Linked DNA regions of Pelodiscus sinensis. The protein of the gene in region 1 interacts with the protein of each later gene in a pairwise test. Links are inferred from orthologs where the notes say so. Each region holds a gene or a part of one and is shown in the gene's direction. Other genes may lie near its edges.

Evidence for each region. The genes of interacting proteins can lie anywhere in the genome.
Region 2: the proteins of ZNF366 (region 1) and PSMA3 interact in binary tests that used the Homo sapiens proteins (3 or more experiments, as listed by UniProt). The link is inferred for Pelodiscus sinensis from reciprocal best matches to the Homo sapiens genes ZNF366 and PSMA3.

Annotation. Positions count from the first base shown.
Region 1 is NC_134716.1:82,423,459-82,433,764, reverse strand, and holds the start of ZNF366 (zinc finger protein 366), read left to right. Parts: upstream 1-5,394; 5' UTR 5,395-5,552; intron 5,553-9,620; 5' UTR 9,621-9,751; intron 9,752-10,306. UniProt on the Homo sapiens protein: Has transcriptional repression activity. Acts as a corepressor of ESR1; the function seems to involve CTBP1 and histone deacetylases.
Region 2 is NC_134714.1:11,338,636-11,348,594, forward strand, and holds the start of PSMA3 (proteasome subunit alpha type-3), read left to right. Parts: upstream 1-4,950; 5' UTR 4,951-5,085; coding exon 5,086-5,106; intron 5,107-8,468; coding exon 8,469-8,551; intron 8,552-9,959. Other genes in the region: ACTR10 (actin-related protein 10), read left to right, coding at 73-254. UniProt on the Homo sapiens protein: Component of the 20S core proteasome complex involved in the proteolytic degradation of most intracellular proteins. This complex plays numerous essential roles within the cell by associating with different regulatory particles.

The DNA of each region.
Region 1 (10,306 bases):
TAATGCAGCCACTGCAGTATGAAGCTCTCCTTTTCTTCTTCACTCAGTATAAAGTATAAAAGTATGAAGTATAAAAATAGTCTAGTAGATGGTTTACATATTAATGACTGATGCCATAATTAGGTGTGTTTGGTTTTTTGGGTTTTTTTTAAACCAATCAATGTCTGGAGTCAAAGTACAGAAGCCATGCTCTAGCCTGGTGAATCTGGCATCCTTATATTCAATGATAGCACATAGGTCTGATTTTTCTTCAACTTCACTTCTGAAAGCATCAAAAACATATGTTTTGTCTATCCCTGTGTCACGTTACTGGATCTTGAGGGGAGCAGCCAGATCACTGATGCACCCATAAGTGGGGGTGTTGGCCCCAAAAATGGTATAGAAGGGGGCCATGTGAGGTATTGAATAGAAGCTTACTGTCTGATAATCCTATGTACGCTGTTCATGTGTTTGTATAATGTCTGTGTATGCAATTATTAGCATGTAATTGTATGGATACTGAAGATTTCCCTGCATGTGGTTGAGCATTGGGCAGGGCCAGGCCTGTGGACATGCTAATTAGCGAGGCCCTGTGGGACAATGGCTTTCAATGGGCCAAGGACACACCTAAAGAATGGGGGCTGTCACCTGAGAGCTGCCAGCAGGGAACACAGAGATTGGCCTCTGACCAGGTGACCTGCTACAGCCAAGAAGGGACCAGGAAGGAGGGATAAATAGGCCATGTGGTCAACGCCATCTTGTTCTCAGCTCAGCACTTCATCCCAGAGGCAGCATTGCAGGGATCGAAGAGCCCGGAAGACCAGTGAACCCATCCTGATGCTAGGATGTGCAACAAGAACTTTTAAACCAGCAGCTGTAACATCTCTGCTAGAGCCTGCATCGAGGGCTGGGAGTTTCGATGCATGTGATGTATGATTCTTTAGCAACCTTACTCTCATGCTTTTCTTTCTGGTGATAATAAACCTTTAGATATAGATTCTAAAGGATTGGCCCAGCGTGATTTGTGGGTAAGATCCAGAGGGTAAATTGACTAGGGATCTGTGGCTGGTTTCTTGGAACCGGACAGGACTTGTTTGGGGTAGGTGGGATTGGGTGCTAGGACCCCCCATCTGTGTATGAGGCCCGGGGCCATCTGGGGCACGGATATTGCTGGGGTGTCAGAGGGGTTTTGCTCGTGAGGCTTCAGGCAGGCAGCTGAAGCGCTCTGTGAGACTGGTTTGTGGCCTGTTTGGAGAGGTCACCAGTCTGGGGGCTGTAAGGAGCCCCGGATTTGAGCAATTCGCCCTGAGCAGACGCCCTCAGCTGTGCCCAGACTTGGCCCGGCACACCCTGAGGAAAGTTTTTTGATTTAAGAGCCAAGAATTTCTTTCAATGTTGTGGGGGTACAGCACAGCACTTTAGCTTTTGAAAAGCTTCACAAAAATAAATGCTCTTTTTGAAAAGTAAGAGATGTCAGTCACCATGAAGTTTGTAATTCAAGATGGACTCAATATGACTCAAATATCTCTGTCTTGATCTCTAGGATAATGCTTCTCCTCTGACTATATCAGCTCTTGACTAAATTCTGCAGTATGTTCCAAATGGGGAACAACCAAATTATTATATTTGATCATTGTTTTCGGTGTAGCAATCCTGCATACAAGGTGGATCTCCATAAAATAATTTACTAATAGCTTGAAATACTGGAAGTTGTTGTCATATTTTGGGACTTAGGACTATTGGGAAATGTTTTTCAAAATAAATACAGATTTTACTCTGACTGTTAAAATGGTGCATGATATGCCTCCATCATCCCTTTTCATATCCTCCTTACATTACTCATACTCAGTACTTGGCAGAAATGCCATTTGACTACATACTCTTTCTCTGAGGAATGACTAAATACTTCTGGAATGGCACATATATTTAAAGTTAACCCTTTGCTATGTTGACTCTCTCCTCAGGCACTATGCTACCAGCACTTCTAACTATCTTCAAGTCACCACTGACTTCCTGAGGAAACGACAGAGCATCACTAATCTTCCTGAAAACACCATCTGGCTACCATAGATGAAGAAGCTCTTTATACAAACATTTCACATGAAGATGCACTACAAGCTGTTAGGAACAGTATCCCTGATAATGCCACAGCATACCTGGTGGCTAAGCGTGTGACTGTGTCCTCACCCATAACTATTTCCATTTTGGGGACAATCTATATCTTTAAGTCAGTGCACTGCTATGGGCACACATATGGCCCCACAAAATGCTAACGTTTTTATGGCTGACCTAGAACAATGTTTCCTCAGCTCCCTTCTCCTGCCACACCTTCTCTACTTACACTACATTGATGGCATCATCACCATATAGACCCACAGGAAGGAGACTCTTAAAAAATTCCACAGAGATTTCAACAATTTCCACCCCAGTATCAACCTCATCCTGGACCAGTCCACACAAGAGATTCACTTTCTTGACAATACAGTACAGATAAATAATGGTCACACAAAGACCACACTAAACTAGAAACCTACTGACCACTATTCTTATTTACATGCCTCTAGCTTCCATCCAGGACACATCACACAATCTGTTGTCTACAACCAAGCCATAAGATACAGCCAGACCTGCTCCAATCCCACAGACAGAGACAAATTCCTATGCAATCTTTATCAAGCATTCTTTAAACTTAAATACCCACTTGGGGAAGTGAGGAAACAGATTGACAGAGCCAGAGAAGTACCCAGAAGTCACATAGTTCCAGACAAAACAAGGAAAATAACAGAACACCACTGGTCATTACCTACAGCCCCTAGCTTAAACCTCTCCAGTGCATCATTGACAATATACAACCTGTCCTGGAAAACAACCCCTCACTCTCACAGACCTTGGGAGACAGGCCAGTCTTTACCTTCAGATACACTCACCCAGGAACCTACCGCTGCCACAAACCTAGTTGCCAACTCTGTCCACACATCAATACAGGCAACGCCATCACAGAACCTAACCACATATGTCACAACATCTGCGGCTCATACAACTGCACATCCTCTAATATGATGTATGACATCAAGTGCCAGCAATGCCCCTCTGCCAATGCCCCTCTGCTAAGTCTCTGTGACAAAGGATTAATGGACACAAATCTGTCGGGAATGGTAACACAAACCTATAGGGGGACATTTTAACCTCCCTGAATATTCTATAATGGATTTAAAAGTAACTATTCTTCTACAAAGGAATTTTATCACCCAATTACAGAGGGAGACTGCTGAACTTGGAATTCATTTACAAGTTCGACACCATCAACTTGGGCTTGAATAAAGATATTAATTGGTTAACACTCTACAAAGGTAATTTTCCATGCCTTTGATATACACATTTGCACATCAAAAACTATGAATGGGACACATCTAGCATTATTAACACTGGTCCTACAATAGACAGGTAACTGCTTTTGCTGTTATATATACTCTGTATTCTGTAATTTCCAATCCAACTCATGTAATGAAGTGGGTTTTACTCATGAAAGCTCAGGATATAATATATTTGTTAGTTTCTAAGGTGCCACAGGTCTACCCTTTTCATCTTTGTTTTTTTATTTGCCCCCTCGTTAATGTTTTATCTTTTCCACATACAACAGGAAATACTAGTCACATCATTCTTTCACCCGCCTAGTTATGTCAAAGCCTGACTTTCATAATTAAAGTTTTAAGTGGCTTAAATATGAATTGAAGGTTTTTACAATTAAGTCAGTGGTAAGACTTCTCCTGGGAATAGTACCAGTACTATTCTATGCATAAAGGTACTTTTTCAGTCTGTCAGCTTTTCATGTCTCATTATTGTACAGTAAATAACAATTTATTAATAATATAGGACAATTGACCAAATTCTACTCTCATTAACAATGGATTTATACTTCTATAATGCCGTTAATTTCAACAAGGTTCATTTAACTTTATACCTTTAGTGTTCATCAAAAAGCCTTCCACCCTTTGCTACCACACGGAAAAACTATCAGGGCACAAAGATGACTTTTTACTCAATGCTTGTTGAAGACAGTCCAGGGAAAAACCTGAAACCCTTAATGGCACCAATGTTTGTCTTAGAGTAAAAATGTCAATAAATTCACAAATTGGTGAAAGAAAAATAATTTTCTATGGGTTGTTACTGTGACTGGATGAAAAATAAGCAGCCATGAAAATGAAGAGTGGAATATAACAAATTGATTCATAAGCAGGGGTGGGCAACAGACTTGCTGGGCTCTGGGCAAGGAGGCGAGAGGTGGGGGGTGGGGGAATAGCGCCATGCTCCCAGAAGAGGTAGGATCTCGGGAGGAAGGGGAAGGACTGGGGGAAGCCCTCGGCACCACCCGAAGCATGCTGTGCTAGCCTCCTCACCACACCCAGACCTCAGAACTGCCCAGAGTGCGCGGCACTATGCTCCAGTGGCAATTATAAGGGCCTGGGGCTCTGGCCAATGTTCCTGTAAGTGCTGCGGTGGAGGTATGGAGCCCAAGACCCTAGGAAAATTGCTGGGCCCTAGGGCTGCTGCCCTCTTTGCCCCTGCTTTCAGCAGGCCTATTCATAAGTATGGTCATTCACTCACTGTGCCTTTCTTTATCTCTTCAGCATCTGAGGAAGTGAGTTGTAGCTCATGAAAACTTATGTTTTAATATCCTAATAAATTTGTTAGTCTTTAAAGTGCCACCAGACTCCTTGTTGTTTAAATTCAGTTCTGCCTCTTTTCCCACTTAAGCAGCATTAAAATATATCTACAGCATGATAAATCTAATTTTGATATACACAGCGGCATTTTGCATGTATGCTATGGTTTTCCATTCTTAGAAAGGCTGAATTAATCTCTGGTGTAATTCTGACTTCAGATAAATATGACCCCTACACTTTATCTATGAGACTCAAAAAGTGTTTCAGTTTTATAACATTCTGTAAAAGTTAAATTTGTTAATTTATTTTTAACGCACCAAGAGATGTTTCATTCCTTTCTCTCTCTCTCTCTCTCTCTCTCTCTGTGTGTGTGTTGTTTTTACTGTGACATAAGATTTCTCCTTGTTTGGCATGTAGGATTATGTTATCTGTACCCTTTTGGCTAATGGAGTTCTCTGCATGAGATATGGGCATTTTAATCCTAGATACTACTTTTAGAACTTCATTTGTTTTGTTGTAGTTGCACAGAGACAGCTATAAATTAGTCCTTATGAAGCCAATAATGCAGATATAATACTTGAGGAATTCCTTTTGGTTCAGTTGTATTTATTTTTCCAAACATTTTGTTTGAGCGAAAATGAGATGGCTATCTACTGTTTCCTTATTTTTTTGCAGGAAAGCAAAGAGTTGTTGACTTCCTCTCCCCTCCCTTCCTTCCTTCTTTCTGAAGGTACTGTACTCATCTGAAAAAAGAGAACGAAGTGATTGTTCCTGTTCTCTTTCTTAAGTCATTTGAAACATTGTCCTTGCTCATTTTCTAAGTTTACTGCAATCTCAATACAGGGAGCAGGAGAGATTGCCAACAGGAAAGCAGGTAGAGAGCTTAGCTCATTCCAACTTCAACAATTGGTAAGTTTACCATGAAAGAGTTTTTACTGAAATCTTTGTTAGTTTAGTAGATATATCTATAAATATAGGAAAGTTATTTATCAACTACTAGTTTAAAAATAATGACTGTATGCCTTGACATGTGGTATATGTTGTCATTATAACATATCTACTGGCAGTTTTTTAAATACTGCTATTAGTTGTATGAGGTATAATCAATATATTGAGGAATGATTTCTCAGTGAGATTGATAATCTTTGCAGTTTTCAATAGTGCAAATTCTTTCATATGAAGCTGAGTAGTTGACCTTTCCTTTCCAGCAGCCATTGTAGCTTGTTACACACTTCACTGACTTTATAGTGAAAGTTTCAGTAAGGTTTACTGGGACCTCACAAAGGCAGAGATAGGGTTAGTAGGTATGCAATTGATAGGCTAGTATAGTTTGTTCATCTCTGACCATTACCTAGGACATATTCATTCAAGTATTATATGAGCAACTGAACTGTCATCGAGCTGTCCCATAAAAAAGAAAGAATTACTACTCTTTTTTTTAAAACAGAGCTTTATTGGGTGTGTGAATACACGTTTGTATCTCTCAGTACCTTTGATATATGCAGTCTGAAAGCAGTGATATTTGAACACTTGAGTGAGATCCAGTTTCATTTTTAAAAGACTAAGTTACAACCAATGTCATAAATAGTAAGATTATCCACCAAGGATGATAACATGATAAAATGCTATCTACTCAGTTATATTTTTTATCAACCAATGGCCCGTCAACTACAGTTTCTAATGATCAAGTTAGCAAAGTCTGACTGCACATTTAGCAAAGAGTGTGATGTAAGCATGTAAGTTATTTGTATAAGGCAGGCAACAACACAAATAGCAACTTTTATACAAGAAGGCATAGTAGGAATGAGGAGTAGAATGTGTCACGTTTCTACAAAAGAGTATCTAGATCATCGCTTGGCCCCATATTAACTTGTCTGTGAGACATCAGAATGTTTTGTGGGACATCAAGTCCCTGGCTGCTTAGCTCCTAATGCAGGGCAGGGCACTCGAGACCAGGTACAGACAACTCTGGCTGGTGATGGATCCTCTGAGATTCATGGGTTCTGGGGGTTGTGCTTCCTCTGAAGTGGGAATATACTTTTCCCCCAATGACTGAATGAACACATTTTTCTTCCTTGTGATTCTTTTCTATACTCCCCTCTCCCCCTTTTCCAATGGTAGGGAGTGATCTATCCCAAATTAGCAAGCTTTCTGATAAAATTACATGTTTCTCCAGTACTTTATAACTAATGTTAAAAAGAAGGAGTTAATCAATGTATTGTTTAATATGGTTTGAAATTAAACGTACCAATTTATCTAATTTGGTGCTATTCATGAGCTTTGGATGATACGTCACCTACAAAATGTTTTCTAAGGTTACCAGTATAAACCAGTTTTCAAGTGTACGCAAGAAAATGAGATGCATACTTTTTTTATTTGGATGCCCAGTTTGGCACTTAGTTGGACATAAAGGCCACTTTATGTGACCAAGTTCTGATTCAGACAACCAAATGTAGAGTTTGGATAGTTATTTAGGTGGCTACGTCTGAAAACTGGGTCCCCATTAATATGTCAGTTACGATAATCAGAGAAGCCTTTTTATGCCATTTGCTTGGAATGGCAGATTTTTTCTGTTCTACTGCTGTTCCCACTATTGATGGGTCCCACCTGCAAAATTTTGATCTGGGATTGCAGACGCCCCAAAATTCTGGGAAGGTTGAATCCAGCATTTAGGCTCAATCCGTGATTAAGTTGGGAGCCAACTACAAAATTTAGATCCAGATTTCAGTGTTAATAATCTCAGCAAATTCATATACACTTGAAATCTGGGCCCATGTTTACTAGATATCCCGTCTGAGAATTTGGAAAAAAGAGAATTCTATGATCCCGAAGCAAAAAAGCATGTATACTTGTTGTTGTAGTAGCTAATCCAAACATAAAATGCTGATTTTAGACTCAGTTCTCTATTAATATTTATGTAAAATAGCAATGTAGAATGACACTTTATAATTTAGTTGTAAATACAGTCCCTGAGTTTTGTGCTTCATTCTTGGATTATGCGCTTCAGTTACATTTCTCTTTGATACAATACATTTTTGTTGGTCATTTGCAATGGGTATAACATTGTGCACTTTTGTTATAAAATCACTACAACATGATTTTATAAAATAATACCATTATAACTAACTAACTAACTTCGCTTTGAGAGATTTGGAAATGGAGTTTTGTCCTTATCTCACTTTGCTGCGAAAAAGTTATAGGCAGAGAATCTGGGGCTATGTCTACACTGCAGAGTTCTTTCAGAAAAATGGCCATTTTCCCAAAAAACCTTCACTTACATCCACACCCCAATTGCGTTCTTTTGAAAAAAGAATCGAAAGAACAGAGGTTTTTTCCCAACATTGGTAAACCTCTATCCACAAGGAAGAAGCCTTTTTTCTGAAAGAGCTCTTTCAGAAAAAGGCGTGTTTGGATAGGGAAGAGGGAGTTCTTTCGAAAGAAGAAGACTCCAGAAAAAAACACAGGTGTTCTGTTGGCCATTCCGTCCATAGTAATCACAGCTTAAATGTGAGATAGCGTTCATTCAGTGTGGACACTGTCTTTTGAAAAAGCAGATCACTTTTTCGATGTGCTTTGGCAGTGTGGATATTCTCTTTCAGAAGAAGTTTTTTCAGAAGATCTCTTCTGGAAAAGCTTCCTCCAAAAGAAGCCTACAGTCTAGATGTAGCCATAGGTTATGAATGCTAGCCTCCATAAATTTAAGTGTGTAAGTTTAGAGAGTATGTTTAATGTTTATGAAATAGATTTTTAGTGATTAGTGATTAATTCCTATGTTATTAAGGAAGGCAATAAAACAGGTATTTATCAGAGACACACTTTTTTATCTTATTTAAAAGCTTATTAGTGCCTTTCTTTAAAAAACCCCAAAACATAGTGACAATATAGTTTTGAGTAGAGCTGTTTGAAACTCCAATTCCCATTCAACAGGATATTCTGAATATGTTTTAAAAAATTGTTCCAAAATAAAAATGAAATGAAAATTCCAAAATTTCATTTGTAAATGTTGAAATGTTTCATTTCAATAAGGTAAAACCTTTTTTTAATAACATGACTTTCATTTCAAATTTATCTGACTTGACTTATATTTTAAAATTAGATAATATAAAAAGGCAAAAGATTTCAACTTTTATCTTATAAGTTATAACAGAACATAACAAAAGTTGAAACAAAGTTGAAATGAAATATTTCAATTTTATCTAAATGAATCATTGCGAAATTTTCATTGAAAATTAACAAAAAAGTTTTATCGGGATATTTTTGGGATCAGCAGTAGTTTTGAACTATTATACACTAACTAGCAAATATATAAAAATAATGAGTAGCCCCATGGCGCCTTAGAATATAATATTTTTTATATATTTTTACACACACACACACACACACACACAATCATGAGCTTTCCTGATGAGATACATCCAGATGAGATGCAGCTGAAGAAGTGAGTTTTGCCCAAGAAAGCTCATGATACTAAATCTATTTGTCACTCTCTAAGGTGCCAAGGGGCTACTCATTTTTAAAGTTACAGATTAAACACAGCTACCCCTCAGAGACTTTTTAGCTAATATATAGTTTAGTGTAAGGATAGGGGCTATGTCCTGCAGCCTTACTTCTGTGTGTAGCTCCATGGAAGTCATAGGAGAAAGGGATTAAAGTCAATGAGATTTTTTCTGTACAAAGAAGCTTTTCTGCTGGCATACATTTGTGGGAGTGCAGACATGCTAATACACAACAGCTGAAATTTGGCTCATGGGTTCTAAATGTTTAAAAGGTATTATTTCCTTTCACATTTTGGCATCTCTTTTACAGTTGTTGTGTTGTTCATATTTTTTGGCAATGGGAGAATTTTTACCTTGAGAGATCTGTATTTTACCCACAAACCTTGAAAGGTCTTGGCCTAATTGTTCTTAAAGCAGCTTGGGCATAATGTGGATACAGATAAGTTTTAAAGCTGTAATTATAATATTGTATATTTTTGAGGCACCACCAGAAGATAAATGTGTTGGCATGGATTAGAGTGGACGAAAACTTCTTGGCAGCTTCAAACCAGTAACCCAAGATAAGCCTGAAATAAAAATCACCACATTCCTAGAAGTAATCCTGGATTGATTGTAAGTAGGATTGAGAATTGATTATCCTAGGCAAAATGTATTGAAATTTTCAATTTTTGCATATCACAGGGACTCCAATACAGCAAAGCAATCTTCATGAATGGACCATTTCACCCATACAGATCCCTTTGTAGGTTTGGTCCCTTAGAAACAATAGCAATAATGCTTTGTAAAAGAAGATAAATATAGACAGAGATAAGTGTATTCATTATCTGACATACCTTTTAAAATGTTATGTCTTGAATGTCTGTATTAATCACCTTTTTGAAAAGTGTTGTTAAACCAAATGAATCATGTATTTAAAAAATGCAGTAGCTTCTCCACTCCCACTGCTCACCTGAAGAGGACTAATTAAGCATGGCAAAATGTGATATCAGAGAAGAAAAGTGTCTTAGAGAAAGAATTTTAGAAGGAAAAAAAATGGAAGCCTTTAAAAAGAAAGAAAAGGTCAAAAAATAGCTAGAGGAAAAGCAGATGCTGGGAAAGCCTGATGTCACCTTCATTTTCATGTTGAGAAGCTGATAGTTATGAAACAAAAATGACAATACCATTTTT
Region 2 (9,959 bases), on another chromosome or scaffold:
AAAATTGGTAGGGAGAAAGAAATTTAGTGTGATGAGAACTAAGGTGCCATTTAATTTTGTTTTACAATGTAGGAGCCATTTTTGGAGCTCTTCAGGACATTCTTGGAAGCCGTTCAGTTTCCAAGGAATATTACAGTCAGACAGGTCGTATACCTGACTGGTGCTGTCTCAATAACCCTCCTTTGGAAATGATGTTTGATGTTGGCAAAGCACCACCGCCACTCATGAAGAGGGCTTTTTCCACCGAGAAATAAGTATCTCAATACATTGCAGCTACACAAGGATTGTCTTCACCTGCTTCAAGCACACCTGTACAAGTTGCTTCTTGTGTATTTAGTGAATCAGGTGTAGCGCTGTTTAAAATGAATGATATAGGTGTCGTTTGGGGGCATCTTGTTGGCTGGAACTATATTGCAGTTGGATACAATTCTACATTTAGATTAAACCCCTCTCTCCCAAAACACCAGTTTTGACAAATGTGATTATGTGCTTTTTTTTTTCTTTTTATGGAAATAATGTAATTGGCACAAGTTGTTACTGAGTTGTTTGCGCTTTCTATATATGTACAGTAGATACAAAATTAAGAGGCTTAGTTTTAGATGTTTTTGTTTTGTTTTTTGTTTTAACCTCTTAGAAGAATAAAGAAGGTTCCTTGTGAAACCTTGTGGGGAAGTTTCTCTGCCACACTCACCATAAAACATTGCACATATTAATATAACCTGTTGGTTCATACATTAAAATGTCTCCTGGAAACGCAAGTGTTTTGTTGTGTGTCCATAGAGGTTGTTATAGAGACCGAGATTCCTGTATTCAGAAGCTGAACAGGGACTTGCTCCAGGATGAAGTTGTCAAAGTGTCAATTTACCTTGCCTGCTAACAACTTTTACCCCCCAAAATCTGACCACTTAGGAATTATACATGGAAAAACTTAAAATAATTAGTATGTGCTTGTTATTAGCATTAACTTTCTTTGGAATGGAGATGGAAATTAGCAGCAAAGCAAGATAGGTATTAAAAAAAAATAATTCGAAAGCAATAAATATGAAATAAAAATACAAAATTGAACTATAAGGTAAATGAGGTACAAAAATTGATACACAAACCAAAAGTAATAAAATACTTCCAATTCCTATCAGAGAATCAAATGAAAAAGTTTTTAGTCCTGTTGATGCAAATACTGTTAGCAACTGCAGAGTATAGAATTCCACCCTCCACTTTAATTATTTCAAAGGTCGGTTGAGTCAACAATTCACCCTTTTAAAAAAAGAATAATCGATATTTGGATGCACACAGCATGCTATTATCACATTAATTAATAGGATTTTATAAATTTGTTACTGCATACTGCAAGATTCTCTTACTCAGGAAAGTATCTGTAAAGTTTGAGAGTCTCGTGCACACACGTTTTTGTCAATTCTTATTATTTCCACCAGTATTTATAATATTGTTTTCTGTAGTATTTTGTGCACTCATGGTATATTGCCTTCTATTTGAGAATTATGAACACAAAGTGCACTTTAGTGACAAAGATTTGACTTACTTTTGACATTCCTCACTTAAAATTAAGGATCAGACTGCCATTAATTTATACCAATATGCCTGCCTCATAGCTATCTCCTGCTAAATGGTGATTTTCACCTACACTGTACTAACTACTGAAATACATGGATTCTTGTGCTTTTAAATCCTTAATATGAATGTGTAGATCACTGTTTAGATTTTTGTTTTAAGAATCTTTCATTACCACTAATAGGATTTTCATGGTTGATTCCTCCCTTGGCCCTTGCAGACTATTGATCAGTTTCTGGAGGTTACTAAAATGTAGTTTTAGAAATAAAATGTGCTTATATAGAAACAAAAATTACTGATTTTGAAACTAAACATAGTGTGGCGTGCAGTGGTATTTTTTTAATAGGTGTGTCCAAGAATCACTGTGTGAAGTTTTCTGGCTTGTATTACACATGAACTCAGACTTAATGATTATAGTAGCCTCTTCTTGCCTTAAATTGTTTTCTTTGCCAGCGTTATTGAGGAATACGTTTGAGCTAAGCAGATCTAGGCAGAATATCTCTAACATTAGCTACACTAATTTTTGTGTCCACACCTGGCATCTAGGCAGAATTTATCTGCGATAGTTTGTAATAGAAATCTTTGAACAATCACTGATAATGGCAAGTATTTAGCGCACTCCCCTATTTTTTTCTTTCTTACTATATATTTTAGAAATGTGTGTCTGTCTATCCATCCGTCTGTGAGCCCATTTGTTGAAAAACTCCTCTATATGGTAAAAGTGAGGACCACTAAATTTGGCATGCAGCTTTCTATTGTCATAACTTAAAGCAGGGTCATTGTGTGTCCATGCCAGGACAATGGGATGTACATGGAATGTGACTGTTTCACATCAAATGGAAAGGGAGAACTGTGGGAGCAGGGACGGTTTTACTCATGAATGACCAAGGGGGGGACAGCAAGTGCCCCAGCCCCAGAGAACAGCTGTTGGCTGGCAGCACAGCCGCCTGCCACATCTGCCTGCCTTGGGGAGCAACTGCTGGTTACTATGCAGCTCCCACCACCCCCAAGGAGCAGCCACTGACAGTGCCATGCAGCCACCATTGCCCCTGGCTGGCCCTACTGAATGCCAGAGAATGACCTGCATGGCACCTCTGCCCTGGGCCAGTCTCAGGGAGGGCTGGTGGGCAGCCTGCACAGCCCCTTCCAACTCCTAGGCTGGCCCAGGGGAGAAGCCTTGAAGAAGACAGCCCTTTGAGTGAAGTTTGCATGAGGCATGATGCTGTTGTCCCTGCCCCCACCTCTCCACACACACACACACACTGGTGTGAGACAGTCTTGAACCTTGTTATATCTGTTCTGGAAAAGTAAAAATGATTATCATCTGACTTCTGCCTAGTGTTAATCTGGAACATAGTAAGGCAGAGTTTCCTAAAACACTTGCATTTGGCTTGCCTTAACATTATAGAATAGCAACAACTATGAAAGCAGCCTGGTTAAACAATCCCCTCAGATAACCTTTTTAAAAATAAAGAATTAGTTTTCTTGTGCCACAGGGCCCAAAACTATTCCAAAAGCTAAAGGCACCTGCCAGTTTGTAGGATTGGGCCCCTGAACAAATACACCCTCACATGGGGCTCTCAGATATCACTCCTGGAGAAATTACGCACCACTGCAGAATTTGCGTTCCCTGCAGAAAATACATTTTGCCAGCGATACACTGCAATTACTTCTGCCCACCAGGGAGCAGTATCATGCTGGAACAGAGGGCAGCTGGAGCATGTGCAGGAGCAGCCAGTTACAGAGGGGGAGGAGAGGCTTCTTTCTTTACCCTGGCCGCACTGAGGAGACAGTTATGGGAATATGGGGGGAAGGAGGAGAGAAATCAGGGCACACGGGGTCGTTGGGGGAGTCACTTAAGCTGGAGTTCAGAAGGGCTAGCAGAGAACCAGGCTGGAGTAGAAGCATTGCATGGGGGGTGCAGGCACACATGGAGGGGGAGGAGGTGGTGGAGTGGGGGTGCAGGCACAAGGAGGGGGGGCAGGCACAAGGAGGAGATAGTGGAGTGGGGGAGCAGCTGGTGGAGAGTGGGGGCAGGCATAAGGAGGAGATGGAGTGGGGGTACAGGCACATGGGGGGGAGGTGGTGGAGTGGGGGTACAGGCACACGGGAGGAGGTGGTGGAGTGGGGGTACAGGCACACGGGGGAGGAGGTGGTGGAGTGGGGGTACAGGCACACGGGGGGAGGAGGTGGTGGAGTGGGGGTACAGGCACACAGGGGGGGAGGAGGTGGTGGAGTGGGGGTACAGGCACATGGGGGGAGGAGGTGGTGGAGTGGGGGTGCAGACACATGGAGGGGAAGTGGTGGAGTGGAGGTGCAGGCACATGGAGGGGGAGGAGGTGGTGGAGTGGGGGTACAGGCACACGGGGAGGAGGTGGTGGAGTGGGGCTACAGGCACACGGAGGGGTCGGAGGTGGTGGAGTGGGGGTGCAGACATGGAGGGGAGGTGCAGGCACACGGAGGGGGAGGAGGTGGTGGAGTGGGGGTACAGGCACACGGGGGGAGGTGGTGGAGTGGGGGTGCAGACACATGGAGGGGTCGGAGGTGGTGGAGTGGGGGTGCAGGCGCACATGGAGGGGGAGGAGGTGGAGGAGTGGGGGTGCAGGCGCACATGGAGGGGTCGGAGGTGGTGGAGTGGGGGTGCAGGCGCACATGGAGGGGTCGGAGGTGGTGGAGTGGGGGTGCAGGCGCACATGGAGGGGGAGGAGGGGGGGTGCAGGCGCACATGGAGGGGGAGGAGGTGGAGGAGTGGGGGTGCAGGCGCACATGGAGGGGGAGGAGGGGGGGTGCAGGAGGGGGAAGAGGCGGGGTGCAGGGACATATGCTGATAGGAGGAAGGGGGCTGAATGGGGTGCAGGAACACAAGGGGATTGGTGAATGCAGGACCTTACGAAGACAGGGGAAGGCAGGGGCTGAGTGGGGGTTCCCCACCCTTGGAGAGGGGCCCGGCTAGAGAGGCCCCTGCAGCGCTGCACGGTACTTCCTCCACCCCCCAGGTTCACCCTGCGGGGTTGTGTCTCGCTTTGCAAAGCGTATGGCCGAACCTGGCTCCTTCGCACGCAAACTGAGCTGTTGCCATCGCTGTTGGGGTAAAATTACAAGAACCAAGACAAGCCATCCATACTCACTAACAGTCGAAGAACAAAATCATCGCCCAACGTGGGGCTCGAACCCACGACCCTGGGATTAAGAGTCCCATGCTCTACCGACTGAGCTAGCCGGGCGTTGCACAATAGCTTCCTCCAGGGGCTATTCGAAATGTAGCCTGGAGCATGCGTAGAACTGATTATCTCGAGGCGCACTTACGAGACTCCTCCCCTCTCGAGTCACAGTCTCTGGCCGGCCGCGCCCTCGCGTCAGTGCCCCGTTGACGTTCACAAAGGAACCTTCTGTGGAAGCTGATTGGCTGTTGTGCGGACCAATGGGAACGCGCGCTGGCGCGCGCACAGCCCCGTGAACTCAGCGCAGCGTGTTGTGGGTCTGTCCGGCGTTCGTTCTCCGCACGGCTCCGCCGCCATGAGCTCCATCGGCACCGGGGTGAGTGCGCGTGCTCGCCGGGCCCGCCGCTGACAGAGTTTGCGGGGAGGGGGAGTCTGCGCGCGAGCCTTCCTCCCCCCCGCCCCCGCCCCCGCGGGGCGCGAGGCAGAGCGGCCGTTGTGCGCCGGGCCGCTCTGCTGAGTCACCTGGGCCCGCGCGACTGGGAAAGCGAAAGTGTAAGCGCGAGGCGGGGGCGGGGCACTAGGGGCCAAGGAAAGAGGAGGGGGTTTGGGGGAGGGGCACTAGGGGCCAAGGGGGGAGGGGCACCGGGGCCATGGAGAAAGGGGGGCTGGGGGAAGGGGCACTAGGGGCCAAGGGGGGAGGGGCACCGGGGCCAAGGAGAAATGGGGGGCTGGGGGAAGGGGCACTAGGAGGAAAGGGGGGCTGGGGAAAGGGGCACTAGAGGGAAAGGGGGGCTGGGGGAAGGGGCACTAGAGGGAAAGGGGGGCTGGGGGAAGGGGCACTAGGGGCCAAGGGGAAAGGGGGGGTTGGGTGGGAGGTGCCCTAGGGGCCATGGGGAAAGGGGCACTAGGGGCCAAGGAGAAAGGAGGGGCTGGGGTAGGGTTGCCAGATGGTTTCAACAAAAATACTGGACACACTTGACATTACATCACAATCTACATTACATCTTATTTAGAAAATACCAGACACTTATATTTTCTCGTTTCTATTTTCTCAATTTGTTTCCTGAACGGAAAGCTCTAGGGGCACTAGACCAATAGGCTCTCAGTTTTTTGGTTGTTGTCTTTTAAGGTTCCCAAAATATGTTATACGACAATTCAACATTTCTCCTGGAGTTAGAGGGTGCTGGAGCTCAGGGCTTCAGCCCCACCAGGTTTGTGGATCTCCTGAAACGATTCATGGACCCCCCCCAGTTGAAAACTGAGGAGCTGGGGGGCTATAGGAAGTGAAGTGAATGGGTATGTGGGAAGGATTTGGGGCTCTAGGAAGAGGGAATGGGGTTCTCTGTCCAGCCGCAGACCACTGATGTACTCTTCTCAGCGTATGGATGTTCTCTGCCCCATGACACCTACTCCCCCAATCTCTGCTGTGTTTTTTAAAAGGGGCATCTCATCTGCAGGGAGAGATTCAGGATGCCCTTCTCTGAGTTCAGGTGCATGTTGTCAGTGACCTGGGGATGAATTCTCTGCAGTGGCTGGGCACTTGCCATTCAACTTAGGGATATGCATGGTTAACTAGTTACCTAGTAAACATTCACCTTACCGGTATACTTACTGGGGTAACCAGTTAACTGGGGCCCAATCAGAGCTGGCTGACCCCCAGTCTGAAGCACAGAGCAGCCTGGCTGGGTTCACTGTGCTACATGGCAAGTGAGGGCCTAGCCTGGCTTAGCTGAGCTGGTAACAACTGCGCCTTCTGCACCACTGGCTGATTAACCCATTAAACACAGTTTAACCAGTTAACATTTTAAATGGGAGTTTACATCCCTAATTTATAGAGCAAGGATGGGCAATAATTTTCGATGGGGGGCCACTCTGAGAATTTGGTAAGTGGTCAGGGGCTGCACTTTTCTATGATCTTAACAGGGAAGTGCAGGGTCTGGGATGGAGTTTGGCTACAGGAAGAAGTTCTGGGTAGTAGGAGATTGTGACCTGGGGCTAGGGTGCAGAGAGCTTGGGTGCAGGAGGGAGCTGTGACCTGGGGTTGGGGTACAGGAAGGGGTGTCAGGTGCAGGCTCTGTCCGGAAGATGCTCACCATAGGCGGCTCCCAGCTGGTGGCCCAGCTCAAGTGACTGGCTGCTGGGGCCAGTGGATGTGTCTCCGTAACCTGCCCCTGCCCCATCACCATCCTTGCAGCCTCCCATTTGTCAGAAACTCGCCAGTGGCAGTGCTTGTGGGCACATGTAGTACACAGATCTGCTGCTCTCTTTCCCCTGCTGGCTGCTTTTGCCCACAACTGTTATAAAGGATGCTATTTTCTATAGACATGCACACTGAGCAAGTGCTTGGCAAGGATCTCTGCCATTCTGACCTGGGATAATGCAGTACGTAAGACTATGGGGCTGCGTCTACACTGGCAAGATTTTGCGCAAGAACACTGACGTTGTAATGTACAAAATCAGTGCTTCTTGCGCAAATACTTTGAAACTCCTGCTCAGAGATAAGTCCTTTTGCGCAAGAGGCCGGTGTAGACAGGTAACATCAAGTTCTTGTGCAAGAAAGCCCGATGGCTAAAATGGCCATTGAAGCTTTCTTGCGCAAGAGAGCATCTATACTGGCATGTGCCTTTGCGCAAAAGATTTGCTTTTGCGCAAAAGCATCCAATCTTTTGCGAAAGGCACATGCCAGTATAGACGCTCTCTTGCGCAAATACTTTTAGCGGGAAAAACTTTTCCATTAAAAGTATTTGTGCAAAATCATGCCAGTGTAGACGCAGCCTGGTTGTGTCTGCACTACAGATGTTACAGTAGCACAACTATAACCAATATATGCTGAGACACATCATTTTTGCACTGGGATAATTAAACCACATGAGCAGAGGTAGCTATGTCAACTTAGCTTTGTCTGTGAACTTATGTTGGTCAAGATGTATTTTTAACACTCCTGATTGACAAAATTTTACTGACAAAAGTGCTAGTGTAGATATAGCCTTTGGCTCGGTAAGAAATAATAAAAAGATAATCTGATTAAGAATGAATCAGACCTGAAAACTGTTTTTTGGGAACATTGGATGGTCTGGATTAAACTTACATATTCATAATGGATGCTTTCATGAAATAGCCTCTCCAACATATTCATAAATGATCTGAAAAAAAGGAGCAAACAGGGAGGTGGCAAAATTTGCAGATGGTACAGACCAGGCCCATGGCTGGAAGGGAGGTGCTCCAGCCCATACATGTTAACTGCAACCAGTAAGCATCACTTGTTAAGGGTACTTATTGATTAACCTTTCATGTCCCTATCATCAAGTGATCCATCCTTTGTCATCCCATTACAGACAACAGGAACAGCCCCTGCCTATGATGTGCCTAGGCCTGCGGTAGACCAGTCTGCCTGTGGCCTTTTTGCCTGCCTCCTCACCCTCCCCCCATAATTGGCTAACTGGTTAAACATCACATCGAACCCGTCAAACATCATGTCAAACCGGTTAATCAGTTGAACAGGATTTTACATAACCTGTTCTGTTAATTTCCTCTGGGGCACCTGGCATTGGCCACTGTCAGAAGAGAATGCTGGGCTAGATGGACCTGGAGTCTGACCTAGTATGGCCGTTCTTGTACAGATTTTCTCCAGAGACTCACTTTAAGACTTTTCATAGAAAAATAGCTTGGTACTACCGCTGTGTGAGCTGTATTTGTAAATGTATGCTGAGCAATATGTTTGTTTTTCTTCCTTTACAGTATGACCTGTCAGCTTCCACATTCTCTCCAGATGGCAGAGTATTTCAGGTTGAATATGCTATGAAAGCTGTGGAGAATAGCAGGTAAGATGAATGTCTTTGTTTTTTGTTTCACTTGTTTATTTAAAAATGACAAGAGAAATGTGATTAGGGCAGACAGTTAAAATGATATTGCAAAAAAAAAAAAAAATTGCACTCCTGAAATAAGTGATAAGTAATTGTATGACTGTATTAATCTCAGGAAGTTCTTCAGATTAAATATAAAGGGAGTATAGTTGCCCTTATTTGTTCTTTAGTTTGGTCAAAAACCGATTGCATATGTTCTTAGTATATATGGTACATACATATTATAGTAATAGACTATATTAATAGCAAAAGTCCATATAAGTGATGGTGAACTGAGGCACTGAGAAATAAGGTAGCAGCTGTAGAAATGTAAATATTGTGCTGTAGCACAATCTGGATATGTTGACTATTAAATGCAGATAAAATGCTTTGAGGTATGGATCAAATCGTCCTATATTTGTACAGCATCCATGTCTCTGGATACAGTTGTAATAGAAAAAACATAGTTCAAAATACATCTGTGGTACACCAGCTAGTATGAATATCTAATATCTTTGGAGTATATCACCATTTTAATGACGTCATCAAAGGATAAAGATCTCTTACTTCTATAATACCTAAATCTCTGGAATATCCCATAAGTCTTAAATATGTGTCCAGAACTATTTTGCAGTAATTCTCACTATGGTATGGACCAATTGGTAAGAACTATTTAATTTCACTGTAGTGCTTGTTCTAGTAATTTTTCTTCTTTATTCACTTGGTCAGTGAGTTTTTTTATGTGTCTAGATACTTTCATGTTAGGCTCTAGGAGTGTGTGCTTTAGACCCATGGAAGGAGGAGGGAACGTCAGTGTCGCACCTAATGGCAGTGGTTCTCAAATTTATTAGATTGAGGCCTCTTTCCTCCCGGTGTCTGACAAGCTGGAGGTGTAAATTACTACAAACAAGTACATATATGGCTGCCCAATTCTGAAGGCAGAGTGGAGAGCGGCAGCTGCTGGTTGGGCACACAGCTTGGAAGAGAGCGCTTCCCCCAGCAGCAGTGGAGAATTAAGGGGATGGTATGGCATTGCTACCCTTATTTCTCCAATGCTGCTAATGGCCATGCTGCCTTCAGAGCCAGACACCTGGCACTCCAAAGCTGCTGCCCTCTGAAGGCGGAGAAGTTTCTCATACTACTCCAGAATTCATTTTGCTCTCCCCAGTTTGAGAACCTTTGCCTTATCGAGTAGGTAGTGGCCTTGGCCCTCCTAATTTACTGATGACACGAGATTTGTGAGATATTTGTGCCACTAGGAGCTGTGTTCCTATTTATGACTCTGTGCTTATTAGGAGAGAGGGATTGAAGTAAAATAACACATCCATATAAATGCTCCCACTTCAAAACTACAGAAAACATACAGGTTTAAAGGGAGATCTGCCCC